2 linked regions of the Lepisosteus oculatus genome follow. The protein of the gene in region 2 interacts with the protein of the main gene of each other region in a pairwise test. Links are inferred from orthologs where the notes say so. Each region holds a gene or a part of one and is shown on either strand. Other genes may lie near its edges.

Evidence for each region. The genes of interacting proteins can lie anywhere in the genome.
Region 1: the proteins of ap1b1 (region 2) and kif13a interact in binary tests that used the Homo sapiens proteins (3 or more experiments, as listed by UniProt). The link is inferred for Lepisosteus oculatus from reciprocal best matches to the Homo sapiens genes AP1B1 and KIF13A.

Annotation. Positions count from the first base shown.
Region 1 is NC_090705.1:16,935,947-16,943,841, forward strand, and holds the start of kif13a (kinesin-like protein KIF13A), read right to left. Parts: upstream 3,228-7,895; 5' UTR 2,927-3,227; coding exon 2,866-2,926; intron 2,594-2,865; coding exon 2,503-2,593; intron 1-2,502. Other genes in the region: E3 ubiquitin-protein ligase NHLRC1, read right to left, coding at 5,897-7,138. UniProt on the Homo sapiens protein: Plus end-directed microtubule-dependent motor protein involved in intracellular transport and regulating various processes such as mannose-6-phosphate receptor (M6PR) transport to the plasma membrane, endosomal sorting during melanosome biogenesis and cytokinesis.
Region 2 is NC_090717.1:13,415,862-13,423,883, forward strand, and holds the start of ap1b1 (AP-1 complex subunit beta-1), read right to left. Parts: upstream 3,192-8,022; 5' UTR 3,027-3,191; intron 2,867-3,026; exon of another isoform or gene 2,768-2,866; intron 1-2,767. UniProt on the Homo sapiens protein: Subunit of clathrin-associated adaptor protein complex 1 that plays a role in protein sorting in the late-Golgi/trans-Golgi network (TGN) and/or endosomes.

The DNA.
Region 1 (7,895 bases), on a different chromosome or scaffold from region 2:
GAGATATGGTTCTAAAAATATTGGTGATGATTCAGCCAAAATGATTCAGATTCCAAGCACGACACAATTAAGGAGAGAAGCAAAATTATGGTTTATTGGAGAGATGGCTTGCAAATTGCTTTATAACATTTCGAGACTGATGATATTTTTCTCACTTGCACTGCAAGAGCCCAGCTCATGAAGAGCCAACAGCTTACTCAGTGAAGCCTCAAAACCACATGCGGACTTAAAAGGAACCCAGTTCTTGTAACGCTGGCTTGAAATGGTTTGAAGGCAGGGTGTTTGCCAGTACTAGTGCTGTCGGGCAAGTTTAGGTTGGGAAAAAAACATGGAAGCTATGATACACTCCATTTTCCCTGTCAATGACTGCACATTACAAGATGGCAAAGTTGTCAGTTATTTGAAAGTGAGTATCTTCACACAGCACTGTCTCACAGTCAGCATGTACCTTCCCTACATTAATGGTTAAAGGAAATATCGGTTTCCAATGTGACTATGCAAAACCACAACCTCCACCTGCCTGGGGGTCATGGAAATTCACTTGCTGTTTATCTTCTCTGGTCAGTCTTTGTTTGTGATTCCAGGTTACATCAAATCAGGATTTTGTAAATAGAAATTCAGATGCAAATGTACTGCAGCCAGGCTTTTAGAAAGAGTTTTCCAAATCTATCTGAAAGTTTTCGGCTAAACACTCACTAGCCAACATCTGAGAGCTTTTTTTTTTCTAATCTGGCATTCAAAACAAACCACAAGGTCAAGGCCTAAATGTTAAGCAGTCGGAACATCCTGGTAGATTCTAATGTACATTAAATAATCTCCCCAAAACAGAAAATCTTAAAAATCGAAATAAATGGATGTAACAATAATTGGACTTTAGGTCACACCGACATTCAGTATAAGAGAAAGCGGCAAGACAAAACCCTTGTAAATTCAACAAGATGTTGTCATTGACAGATCGTATTCAACAAATATTTATGGAAATCAATTGTGATCCTTTGCTATATGTCATTTCTGTCAAAAGGATAGTCAATTGAAAGTCTGTGCATATCAACATCAATTTCTTTACAATGGCTTCCTACACATAAAGTTGCACTTGCCCTGTGTTACATCTGCTGAATTGACTTGAGCTCAATGCTCCAACTTACAAAATAATGTACCCGTTTTTCTGCTGGTTAAGCAGTATGTAACTAGCACATCCGTTCTGATCCAATACAATGTAAAGCCTTCATTTCTGCAATTATGAGCAAGATACACAGCTCTCTTCCTGCTCCATAAATCATCTGACACACACCTATTGTTTTCGCTCAGACTGAAAGCCTCCTTTCAGAGTTTGCTAACCAGTACTACACTCCAATGAACAAGTTCCAGTAGAGTCCAAACACAATTAGTGAAATTTCACCGGAGGGCAAAAAAGTCAAATCTAACCACAAGATCTATAAATCGCAACAGATGTAGGCTTATTTTTCAGAAAAGAGAACCCATTTTAATTTTAAAAGAAATTTTTCAAAAGCAATATATACGATCTATAAATACTATACAAACAACTACATACCCAAAAACAAGATTACTAACTATGCAGGATTCCATTCCTATATACTCATATACTTCCTATGTACATCCTCAAAAACCCAGTGAAAGCAAGCGGAAAACTACCGCTTTGTAGGGTTACTAAATATAACCCAAGTTGTCTGAGGTTACCTTTATCTTTAAAATGTTGCCCTTTCGCAAGAAAAAAAACCGCAATTAAAACACAATCAAAGGACTCGAAATCTTGGCGACTTTAGAAGCTGATACAGGTTAAACTGTCGGAGGCGGCTCTAACAGGTATCAGTGGAAGGGACAGTGCCCAACACGAGCGGCCTCCCCTTTCCTCTCTCCCATCTATTTTTACAGCCTGTTGCATTGGAATTTTGGATGGGAGCCAGCGGCTCTTTCCGCAACTCTCTGTATCCCGGGCTTGGTGGTCAATTTTCTGCACTGCGCTGCGGGGAACCGTGTCGCACAGCATTGAAAACGGCCTCGAGGAGGCGCGTGAAGTGTTATTTAACACACCTGTTGTTGTTTTTTCGCTTCTAAAACTTGGGAGGAATGACCACATAACATAGAAGTACTGTAAGCGTCGAGAAAACCGAACTACATGCGTGCTTATCCGGCATTTAGTTCTTGTGCGTCAAGGTCTCGCTGATCTACAGCAGCGGGCACAGATGTTGTACATCCAAGTTTGCAATCCCATCTTCGTTCAATACAAAGCCCTCCCCCCCCAAAAAAAACGAATCCAAAACAGTAAAATCCAGAAGCCTTTCACCTCTTTGTTTCTAAGCCAAATCGCAGGTTTTATCGACGGTAACCGTTAAATAATACTAAATGCGAGGATCAATGTCAAATCACTGATTTCCCCCATCGCCCGGGCACATACAAAGACTGGACTCACCGCTAAAAGTTCGTTAAGTCGCACAAGGGACACTAACCAAAGTAGATGCTTTATCACACAGCAGTTTTTACCTGTTCTCCCCTTTCGAGTTTGAAGGCGGTGGGTGCAGGACGGTTTGGTTGTCTTCCATTTCCACAACACATTTCGTGTTCAGCTCAATTTCTGCGGTGACAGTCGAAAGGGACAGTGCGTTAGCAGGGAGCGCTTTAAAGCCGTCACACAGTAACAAAACACACATCCCCGAAGCCTAGCCGTTTCACTTCTCCCTAAAACAACTCCCAGATAAATCGCATCACTCCTTTGCTGCATAACTGCTGAAGAGACAGAAGATGCTGCTACACTGCGTTACAAATCTTGCAGCTAAAGAAGTTTTTAAAGGGTGTTGTAATTATGGGTTACAGAAGACAGAATATGGTGAAGTACAATACACTTACCTCTCCGGTTCATTGGCCGGACTCTTACAGCAACTTTTACCTTACTATCCGACATTTTCATCCACTTTTTTTTCCTCCACTAGACTGTTACATTGGACTTAGGAAAAATGATAGTGTGAGTCCCCAAGTGCTTTAGCTCCAAGTCAGTTATCGGGCGTAGATGCAAACAATATATTCCCAAGATCCATTCCAGGCCACTTGAAACAGAAAATTAAACATATTTTACTTTCAGTGAGCTAAATTTACCACCGATCCTCTCTCATCCTAGACTCCATCCCCACCGCCATCTTCCACTGAGAGCAGTTTGCACCACCAGGCGAGACTCCGGCGGACCGAAAAAGCCGGATTCTGGGAACACACGAACTGAACTTCGGAAGCAAAGGCCACCGGGAATACACGGAGAAGAACGGAATACGGGAGAGGCACTCGGACATCACGGAAACATACGAAGACGAACGAAGATGCGTGAGGGGAAACACGCTACTATCTAGCTTTATTCAATACGCAAAAAACGTCATGTCAGCTGTGAATAGTGAACATTTTTGTGAGGATTTACATTCTTACTGTTGAGATCGAGTATATCGTCATCCCATTGCGAATTTAGAGACAAGACCAAAATGTCACTGTTGCTGCACCTGATTAGAAAAATGGGACAACTCAGACCGGAGCTGTGGGTATGTATTGTTATTTTGTATTATTACTTTCTATAAATAAACGTGGATATTTAATAAATAGAGTATGATATTTATAAATATAAATTAAATAAACATGGTTACTGTTATTATTTTTATAATGTAACAAACATGTAGCGCTTAATAACGCTGCGTTTTCACAGGCATAACGACGTAAAATAGCAAGTAATACAAAACTGCAGAAGATGTTCAGATATGTTACTCCAGTGCTGATCTGTTGGAATTGATTGCGAATATGCTGTCAGTACTTTAAAAGTGTTAGGACAGGCTTTTTGCACACTTCCAAAATACAAAAATTAAGAGTACTTTCGTCGCACTGTTTATTTATACCAATGTGGAAACCGACAGGTTCAGATGGTAAATCTGTAGATTCTCACGTACGTTTTCGTGCAGCCTTGTATTTATAAACTGCTCGAGTAAATATGACTTTTTCCATTATCCGCCTTTGTACATGCGCGCTCCGTGAGACGGACGGGTGTCTAGTCCGGCTTTTCCAGGGTGTTCCGAGTCCCGGAATACTTTGTATCTACAGTATATCTACTAAATGTGGCCTTATATCGCATGGGATTTGAGACAATTAGGACAATGGAAGAGTATTTATACTGCCATTCGTTGTTCTTACCTTCTGCTCTCATTCCATCAGTGATGCTGCTGTACGTTAGTACTGTCTACGGCCCGAGAAAGTGCCTCTTGACCAGGAATGTGCAAATTAGTGTACTGTATGTGATAATCTGCAAATTGTAAATCACAGTTCTGACCAGAACTGTTTTGCAGAGCCAGGCACTCGCTTATGCCAACCGAATACGGAATAAGCGCAGTAACAATGGCGAAACATGTAAAATGCATGTCTATTATTATTAATTATTATTATATAAAACTGCAAAGTAAAAAAATCACACTTGAAAATAAAAAAAAACATATTTGCACTTGAGTGTCATTCTCCGTACATTCTAAACATATGCTGAAGATTACATTCTTCCAATATTTTAATATCCTATCAATGCATGGCAGGAAGGCTTGGCAGCCTTGCAGTACTGCCTCATAGCTCTTGGATACTGGGTTCAAGTCTGGAATGGGGCATCTTCTGTGTGGAGTTTGTATGGTCTCCCCAATGCGGTATGGGTTTTCTCATATGTGACATGCCGTCCTCATCTTGTCCTCAGTGGTGTGTGTGCCCTGCATTGGACTAGCATCCCGTCCAGGTTGTATTCCCAGTATGCATCCAATGTTCCTGGGGATAGACTCTTGCCATAAGGGTCTTTTCATAATAAATAAACCAGATAGTAGCTTTTCTTAATGAACTGATAAATAGATGGAGCGAAGGAGTCAGTGTAACTCAGAAAAGTGTTTCACAATCTTGGACTTTGAATGCCTTCTTTGATATAGTTTCTGGTACAGCCGAGTTTCTCATTTAAAAGTTCTTATTTCCAGAAATAATTTCATTCGTGTGTATTATTTCAAAGACATCTTACAAAAGCTGTAGTTTTCACCTTGTTTAAGACTGATGCACAGAAACAAGTAGGTATGATGCTTCTGAAGCACTCCTTTAATAAGCATGCACAGTGCTGTACAGACTCTTCAGTTAAGTTCCACATGGTCATTTAAACAGGAATCCGAAAAGGGAGGAGTCCTCAATCTCATCTGGCACATGGTAATTGTTAGCCCAGCTCTGGGTGCTTCCAGGGAGAAGCAGTCATACCTGAAGAGGCTCCAAATCCAAAACGTTGCCTTTGTTCTTGTTACTCTTCGTTGTGGAACTAATCTCCAACTGTTTCTTCACAGCTCCCCAATCTAATCTTGCATCGAGGAGCTGGAACTGTGAAAACACTTCAATTAAAGCTTCAATGAGGTTCATTAAGAAAGAGCTGGGTTGAAATACATACTGTACCAGAAATGACAATATGTCCAAAACCAGTACAGGGAAGCACAGACCTAGAACGTCTTTTTAAACTGTTAAGCCAACGTTAGTCTTCTAATTATACAATATTATTATAAATTATTTTTAGTGGTATAAAACAAATTATCTACTGATATGTCATTGTAAGCAATATTAATGTATTTATACTATTAACATATTATATATTAATACAGTTTACTCTATATATAAATACAAAGACCATATGCTTAGAAATATTTATGTATGCTTTATGCTCCATTCACAAGTATTTACAGTACTTTTTTGTCTACTGTATATGACGGTAATGTTTACTATGAAAAATTTTATTAGTGACGATTTTCTTAGTTTTCAGCAGGAAATTTTACAAGCAGTACAAAGTGCCAAGCACTTAAATATGCTCAGTCTGCAGTTTGCATGACTCTAAATTTTTCTTGGAAGTGGTTCACAGCTGGTCTCGGCCATCTTTGTAAATTTTCACAGCTTGCTCGCTGCTGTCCAAGACGACCAGCATGTTCCCCGCTGTGCAGATCAGTCCTACAGGGCGACCCAGCCCTTGGTTGATGAGTGGAATAAAGGAAGGGGATTCCCTGAGCTTCCCCAAGCACACCACCACTCTCCGGCTGCCATCAGCTGCAATCACGTTGTCTTCGCTGTCAAAGGCCACCGCGGAGACATTCATTTGAACTGGAGCCACCAAACTGAATCCAAAGGTGTCGATCTGAGATAGCAGTCTGAGCTGGCTATCGAACAGTTTGAGCCTTGTGGCTGTGCTGCTTCTGTGTTCCCAACCTCTTAGATGTTCCACTACCACTACGGACCCTGTGAGCTTGGAGGATGCGATCTCTCTGGGGCAGCACAGCTTCGAGGAGGCCACATGGTGACCGGTGACGAGATTTGTGCAGAAATCCACCACCAGGCGAGAAAGGGTCCCAGCGTCCGCATCCGTGACAAAGATGCGATTGGAACCGTCGGCATCCGTTCCCCAAGGCAACTTGAACGTCTCTCTGACGGTCAAAAGATTTCTTCCCGCGGAGGTGAACACTTTGACAGAGCGATCCCCGGCGTCGGTCACAATAATGTGGCCTGCGGGCGTAACAGCGACGTCCAGGGGGTAGCAGATATCGTCGGGCAACGTCCCCTTGCGCCCGAACCCGTGGAGGCGCTCTCCCTGGAGGCTGAAGATACCCACCCGCTTCCTACCGTCATGCACGACTACCAGCGCCCCCCGCCCGCCGAAAAGGGCAGCTCCCGTGGGGTTCACCAAGCGCCCCCAGCCTCCGAAAGCCCCGCGAAGCTTCAGGCCCACAGTCCCAAACCCGCCCGCGCTGTAACCCGCGCAGGGAGGGCGGCCGCCCCCGAGCAGCTCCGTCAGGTGGGCCACCACGAGACAGTCGGACGCCTCCGCGGGGCTGCAGAGCCTGCGGCAGAAGGGGCACTCCAGCCTCTGAAAGCGAGGGTGGGCGAGAGAGCTGAGGCATTCCCAGCACATCACGTGACCGCAGGGCAGATTCTTGGGCCTGCCCTTGCCCCGCTCCACGCTGAATCTCTCAAAGCACACTTTGCATTCCAGTAGGCTGGTCTCGATCTCGTTCAGGATCCTCACCGTGTTGCAGCTTTGCCTGCTGCTGCGAACTCCTCCTGCGGACACGATCTCTGCCTCCATCATGCTGCCTGTGGGCTGCATTTAGCACGACAGACTCGGAAAGCGCTAGGGGAAAAAAAGCATTTGCTTCACCTTCAGTCAGGCACGTCTTAAGAGACACGTGATTGCAACATAGACTACAGCCTAAAAACTGTACTCTGCTGCCCTCTTGTGGGAACGATGTGATTTACACATAAGAGATCTTTCCAGTTTGATAATTTCCATTTTAAAAGATGCTAAGTCATATATCCCTGTGTGCAGCGGTTTCAGAGTCACAAAACCAGTCTCATCTCCAACTTGTGTTTGTTTTTAACGGTAAAGTGTCTGAAAGCAGCAACATATTAAGTTGTGAAAAAAGGTAGATAAATGTGTGTCAGTTTTGCAATTTACTGCTCTTACTGTGTAGGCAATGGGATTATTCTTTTACATTGGTATGTGTGAATCTGCAAATTTAAAACATTTAAAACAAATTTAAAATTTCTAGGCTCAGACAAATACAATTTAATAAAGAGAAATAACTTCCAGATGAAGAACCCCACAAAGATTTAATGAATTTATTTTAGAAGTCATTTACTTTCAGTACATACAAAATAATTTGTATTTTCCTGAGGATACAGTCACAGGCTTAAATATTCAGATTTCTTTACTGGCCAGTTCCCCACCCATGCCTTACAATGTCCACTGTAGATGCTGGGGAAAATAAGATAAATTGCATGATGTAAATAACTAACAGGGCCTTTGTAACCACATAAAAGACCATAACCTTTTTACAGATTGGATTCTCTTTCCATATCAGATC
Region 2 (8,022 bases):
AGCATCTACCTCCAGGAAAGAGACGCTGAATTCTGCCGAAGAGGCTGGAATTCAGGCAGCTCGGCTAAAGGGGAAAAAAAGAGGTTAGGTGCCCACCGCCCAAACACCCCTCCCACAGACACACAGGGCTAATGTTATCACAAAAGGAGAAAAACAAAACAAAAATCCTTAGCAAGCAGAAGTGCTAGCCAAGAGGACAGACCATAACTCCCCTGTGGTATCGGATTGTCGTTGATCATCACATGGGGGCTTTCCTGTTATTTAACCTCATGCTCCATTCATTTCCTCCTCCACATTCTTGTACATTGTCTGCTTTGGCATTAGGCTGGCTGATCTGCTGTTCCATCTTCCAAAATCAATGAGAAACTATACAATATATTGCGCATTTGGGTTTCATCTGTAGGGTGCTTAATAACAAAAGACTGAACTGAATTGTGGCATGGAGGCAGAGTAGCTGGCATCGCTATAGTTCAAGTGCGACCTGAGGTTTGCTTCTGCAATTTATTACACCAAGTGTTGCTTCTTAGATAAAGCAACATTCAAATGTTCAGTTCAACCCCTGCTGGGTTTCTAAATACGTTCTGAGATTCATCACAAATCCCCTCTGCATCAATTCCATACTGTTCAGTCTTTTACTGCAACACATGACAGGAGGATGAAAACAGCCCCTTGCTCAGGCATTCTACCTGAACTGGGCTAAATCACAGGGACATCAGGTCTCACTTTCTAACACACCAGGAAGGGATTTAAAAAAAAGAGGTGGTCAACCTTCTGGGCCTCCGCGAGCACCCAGAAAATCTAAAAAAAAAAAAAGGATGTGCCACATATGTGAAGCCTAGTCTTATCCCATGTTTTGAGCAGGATTGCTTTTAGTTGAAATAAGGATTGTGAATTAGAATTAATGGTGTGTGGAACTGATGCAGAGGTTTTCTATAATATGGACTTACAGAGATGTCGTAAGTGGTTTTCATGAACCATGAGGCAGATTTTTTCTCATCATTTCCTAACCACTTCATCCAGCCAGAGCCATGAGGGAGCCAGAGCGAGCCAGAGCCTATCCCAGCAAGCATCAGGTGCAAGTCAGGGTACACCCTGGATGGGACGCCTGTCCATCGCGGAGCAAAACTGCACGCGCGCACACCAGGGCCAACGTTCGCCAATTCACCTGCCACAATCACACTGTGGGGGGAACCTGGGGCAGCTGGGGGAAACCCATGTGAACACGGGGAGAACATACAAACTCCACGCAGACAGCAGCCCAGGTCCAGAATCGAGCCCTGCACTGCGAGGCAGCCATGCTGACCACTGCGCCCCACCAGACTCCAGTTCGTTTCCCTGCCACTGCAGACGGAGACTGGAAACAAGTACATTTTAAAAGCTTGCAAAATACCACAAAACACTAAAGATATTGGAAGATTCACTGATATGCCAAATATACCAAGTCACACAACTTTACAAGCAAATATTGCCTGTAATCATGTTTTTAATTCAGGTAACAACAATTATGATGCAGCAGAAAATCAAGAACTCAAAAGTTCTGTTCACACGTACTTATCTTCAGGTAGAACTGGAGAATCTAGAAATAAGAAACCAACTGGACACGTACCCACTACCCTGAGCTAGTCGTGGCCCAGTCTTACTGCAGTTGTGCTCAAATAAAAACTATCAATGTGCATTGACAGTGTTATTCACTGAATAGCATTATGGTTAGTTGCTCCATTTTCCCAAGGGTGTTTAAGTTTAAGCAAACCCCAAGATTCAGAAATGCTGTTTTTTCCCCCTCAAATTAAACCAAGATCCTTAGTTGTTAGGTGTGCTTGGGGGCTTCACAGACTTTCATTTATAGATGCCGACAGTGTATAAAAAATACCTTAACATTTTTAACTATTCTCTTGGAAATAGCAAAGGTCAGAGGATAAAGTTCTTGAGCACTGCTGAATCAGGAGCGTGATCACTGACACTCAGTTCATTAAGCACAGAACAGGTTTAGTTTATGATTAACCATGCATTACTGCTTGAATTTTGTGTATAGTTCAAATAGCTTTAAAACATGCAAAAGGGTGTATCAAATACCTAGGCAGACATTTAACAGTTGTTAAAACCACATCCCCAGTACCAGCTAATCCACCCTAAAGATTAGCCAGCCTGTACAATCAGAAAAAAATACCTTCAGTAAAATAGACATTGCTTAACAGTAACGCCTTTAAGCACGTTTAAAAGGGACCAAATGTGTCTCACTCCGACAATGCACTGCTTGTGTGATATGTATAAATAATCCCTGTTTGTGTTCATAAAACATTAATAAGAAAAACTCGGGTATTTTAGTCAAATTACAAGAAGAACATGCAGGCAGTGCAACATGACCGTATCTCCTGCTGTAAAGAGGGACACGACCGACTCTTAGCTCACGACAGGTCCCTTCACAATAACGTCATTCTGGGGTGAAACTGAAGTTTCTGTTCCGTCCAGACTCAGGAAACACACAAAAGGTTTCCATTACAACTGGTTTTCCACCGTGCTCAAATTTCAGGTATCAAGCGCACTCATACCTCATACAGCAGTTTTTGTAGTAACCATGAAACTCCAAAATAAAAAGGCCAACTAAGACAACGATTTGAAAAACACGCTCGTTCACTCCACTACATTCCTACACCAGCCGGACTTGTTAAATTCGTGTAGTAATGCAGCGCAATGAATGAACGTGCACTACACTTGACCTTATAGATTCAAGTAAAATCAAGAAAAAAATGCGACTAAGCTCAACAACCTTGTCTCTGAATACCCGGCCTCTGCTACAACCGTCGCCTTCACTCACTTCATCAAAACCGAAGGAAAAGCCAATAAATAAGAACTTGCAATACTACAAACAGCTGTGTGTACAACTCGGCCTTCCCTCCCACTTTCTCTGGGTAACACAATCATCTGATGCACACTTCCGGCCCGTCTCTTCCGCAATCTTTAAACTCGCATCTCCGGGGGACGAAGCGCTGGATCGCGGCGATGCGGGGACTTTTACAAGGCCCTACCTCTCTCGGTGGCTCCGCAGCGGCCCTAGTTCGGTGTATGCTTGCGGGTCTCGGATGGATGGCGATGAAGTGCGGGAGGCCCTGTCGCCCAGTGGAGCTCGGCTCTCCAAGATGTCTGACTGCGCTGTGCCGTCACCTGCCCGGCCGGAAGAGACGGCGAACAGCACTTCCGCCTGACACCTGCCGACTCCTTATGGTCCGGTAATAGACTGATGTTTAACCAACGCGGGTTCTTCAACCCTTATTGCGTTTCTGGGTTGAACTCATATTAATAATAATATTGTGTAATAATAAAAACAGTTCACTTAACATTTTAACAACATAAAAAGGGACCCTGCACTCATTAAGCAGTAAAGCACATTAACCCATTCGTGCAGGGTAAATATTGTTACAAGCAGGTGGAAACCAAACGATTAATAGTATCCTATCAAATATTTTCCACATCCTTAAAAGAGGAACATGCGATGTTATTATGATCATCTGAACCCATAGAAAATCCTGTCTGACTACTTCTGATAACAGAACCAGTACAATGCTGTACACAGTGCAACTCTAGCTGATTTTTAGAGAATGCAAATAATACCTAGGGTAGTTTGTTATATAAACACACACGTGTTGGCACCCTTCATCTCCAAAATGTTCTTCTCTTTTGCTATTCTCCAAAATAAAGTAAAATACTCTAACCTAAGCAAACATTTTTGTTGTTTGCAACATTATTGTTGTGTGTATCCAAAGTTTAAAAACAATCTGCTCTGATACAAACTTATTTATTTCTTGATGGAATTTACAGTCTATTCTACAGTAGAAGCACACAAGCTTAGCCTAAGAGAGTACCAGAATGATTTTCTCCTCTGTAGACATTCTCATTATGTTTAAACAGGAGGAAAACATTCATGATGGAGGAGAAAACAAGTTCATTATGTTTTTTACAGAATGTTTTTTCCTCTTTAACAAGTTCGGTTACACTGCCAGAAGCCTCAGGCTCAAATTAATGTTAATTGTTCTAAATAACCTGCCCAATTATTTGTTTAAACCAATATTTCACTAAGTAGTAATGGGGAAAAAAAGCACACACCCGGGTTTTTGGAATTAGCCTATTAGGCTTTTTAATAATTTGCTTTGAATTAAAAAAAATGAAACAATTAGACAAATGCTGTTTGTTATGCAGGTAGCCTGGAGGAGTGATGAAAAGTAATGTAGTGTTACCCATAATCCTTGGGTCTGGATTCAGTTATGATCTGGGACATAATGTCTGTTTTCTGGGATTCCTCCAGGTGCGCAGATTTCTTCCCACAGTCCACAAATTATTGTTCAGGGTAATTGGCATCTTTACATGTCCTCCCACCTGTGCCATTAGATGGACTGGTATCCTGTCCAAGGTACAGTATGTCCCATTTTGTGCCCATTGTTTGCTGGGTTACGTTCTAGCTCATGAGAACCTTGTACTGAACTAAGTGATTATTGCTTCACACACTGCAGAGAATGTTTAATTTGGAACAACACAATTGGAAATTGATGAAACCAGTCACAGACATTGAGTAATAGTCAAGTTTTGAAATTGCTCCAAGTTCCAAGTTCACTCTGAATACCAAAAAGCGTTTCTTTAAAAACAGAAACCAATTCAGTCCTAGAATGTGTGTTAATGGACACCCATTGAATTGAATGCAATGGAGGAAAAAAAATCCCATTTTAAATTAAAAATGTCAGCGTAGTTCCCACAGATTAGACAAAGCTGTCTCCTTTGAGGAAGATAACTTATGCAATGGAGAAAGGTCATGAAGAATTGTTTAGGTGTTTTTGAGCATAAAAGCCCTTGTTCAGAATTCTGCTGTGAATCATCATTCTACATTTAGATCTGCGTTTATATGTGTATATTACAAATGACACGGAGCTTAAGATGTTAGTGGTCTGTTTCTACAACAGCTGAAACCTGAGCAAAGGGCACTCCTGTCCATGAGACCATGGGAAACACAGCACACTCTGTAGGACACCTGATCACCTCTTGTTCCCAATGGTTCTATAAGCCAGGAGTGTTTTCTGTTCATTTGGAGGGTAGAACTAATGCTTGGCCAGATAAAGAGGATAAGTAGTGACAAAAATTAATGAGTCTTATTAAAACAAAAATAGGCTTTGAACTAAAGTTACATCTAAAATTCCTGATTTACTCTAACTTGTCATTCAAAGAGTGACAAGTAATAAAAAGTAACAACCAATAAGTGACAATTCTGCTAAATAAAATGTCTAGTTTAATATTGACAGCCCGAGCTCATGCCTATCACCCACATCTCTGTGACTTGCAATGATCTCATCGATCACTTATGAATAAGGCACATCAGAAATAGCAGCGCAGGATGATTGCAGTGTTTTGATTCAGTTCTTATTAATAGAGACATCAGTGAAATGATGGGTTTAATGTAGATGTCACACAAACTGTCCCATGTAGTCTCATTTAGTCCCAGAAAAAAAAACTTTCCATGATGCTTACTCACCACATAAAGCACTCAGCAGAGGGGAAAATAAAGAAATGACGTTTCTTTCTGGGAAAGCAATTGGGGAAAACAGATAAGTTAATTTGACCGCACCTCTCTGTCCCACAAATGTGCTTTAAAACTGTGCTCCCCTTCTCCCCCAGAGGGAAGCCTCTCCAGGCTCACTAATGAAGCCATGAAAATGAAGGAGGCCCAGAAAGCATGAAAGGCCTTTTTGCTCCTTAGTAAAAATGCAGGTGATCTCTGCCCTTCTGAGGTTAAGACCACTCTATTGAAAGTGAAAGTTAGTTGTGCGTGTCCACAGTTCCCTCGGGCAGCACTGGGTGAAAGATAAAACCATAGGTCATGAAATGCACAGATAAATCATTAAAGCGAAGCTACTGCCTTTATACTGAAAGACCTAGTTGTCAGTTACCAGAGCTGTCATGGTCATGTTTAAAGCACCACGGCGCCCTCACGTGGCCAGTGTTTATTTTACAGTTTTGGATGAACTGTAACCAACGTCTCACAAATTATTATACAACAACCTGATCTATTTTTTTAAATATTAGGAAAGATACTAAAATTGGCCAAAAATAGAATACTCATAAAACTTTTTTGTTGGAAGCATGAAAATGGTGGTTTTAGAATTATGTTTTGTCCTGCATTGTCTACTCCTGAAAACAGCTACCCCAATTGAACTTTGACTTTTTGAATCCTTCTGAAAATAAACCTCACTGTGCAAAAAACCCCAATAAGGTAGGGGTTTTTGACTAAGTGGGTATCATTTCCAAAAAACACCTGGAAATATTTTAATTTCCCATTTATAAATCAGGGCAGCATAGTGGTGCAGTTGTTATCATTGCTGCCTCACAGCGCTGGGGCCCTGGGTTCAAGACTGGACCTTCGGTTGTTATCTGTGTGGAGTCTGCAAGTTCCCCCTTATGATAGTGAGAGTTTCCTCCCACAGTCCAAAGACATACTAGTACTGTAGGTTAATTGGCCTCTGGGAAAATTGGCCCTAGTGCGAGTGTTTCTGTGTCTACATGTGCACTGCGATGGTCTGGCGTCCTGTCCAGGGTGGAGCTTGCCTTGCGCCCACTGCTTGCTGGGATAGGCTCTGGCCCCCCTGTGACCCATGCAGAACATGGAGTGGCTATCAGATAGATGGATGCATAACACTAATTATCTCAATAATCAGTTTAGATTGCTCTGCTACTGAACCGTCACCATTTTTATTACAGGCTTTATGTTTGTTATGGTATGATTTAAAACTGTTTCAAACAGGTGTGTTTCTATCAAAAGATTTCACAAAAGAGCCAACAAGAATGTGAAGAAAATGCATTCGAAACTGATGAGACATGAAACAAAGACCACAAAAACACCTATGATTTTTAATAACTAAGAGACATTTATTACAGTTGCAATGTAACTTTAGGTGCTTTAGACTTGTGTTCAGGTATCCAGCGGCCTAAAACAATTCAGCAAAAAACTGAACTTAGAAAAGACTTACAGGTAATTTCCAGGCTTACACATCTACAGAAACTTCACACAATGTCAAGACTCCATCCCTTTAATCCTTCTGGAAGTATAATCAATAACACACTCAGACACAGAAACTGCTGATGCCAGTCATATTGCCATTTTAACTCACAGTGCAAACTCATTCCCCTGTCATGACCTGCTTCAAATCCAACACTCGAAAATAAATAGAAGCAACAAATCTTTAACACTGCTTTCATTCGTTACAAAATAAAATAAACTAAATCCCACCCACTCTGCTAACGAGCAAAACCGCCACAACCGTAGTTAAGTGTCTCCGATCACGAGCCCTGTAGTACAATAGATACAGCTCCATTTGACAAGCCTTACGGAATATGCTTTGTATAAAAGTTTTACAGGAGCATTACAAGGGAAAACTGCTATCATTAAAGTGCTTAAGATGATGGATGTTTTAGTACTGGGGAGATGCAATTCTCAAAGAGAGCTAAGGAATTTCCTGAAGGTCTTCAGAGACTGGCCCAAGTGCCGCACAGAAATAAAGACAAACCTGCTTTCCTGACGTGTAATGTCACCTTTCTTGCACTCTGGTGCTCTCAGACTGCTTACAGTGCAGTTCTGCTTTTAATATTACAGCCATGACGAGTAGCATTGCTTATCATCATTATTGTTAATTTAATCTGGAGTCAATACTCCCACCGCCAGAAACAACCAAGCTAGCAAACCTGCAGCCCCTAAGGAAGATTTAATTCTAAAACAATGCATGAAACAGCTGCGGAATATGCACAAAAAAGAGATTACCGTTGGTATACGCATAAGGTAAAACTGCATCTCACTGTGTTTGAAGTATTTAATTATTTAATGTGATTATGACTGTAAATCTGATCCTTTGAGGTGCTTTCATTAGTTATTCATGTACATTTGAAAACAAATTCATACCATATTAGTGGTTTGCACTGACATCAAATCTTTGAAAAATTACTGAAATAAAATTCAAATTAAAACCACAAAGAACACATACTAAAAGG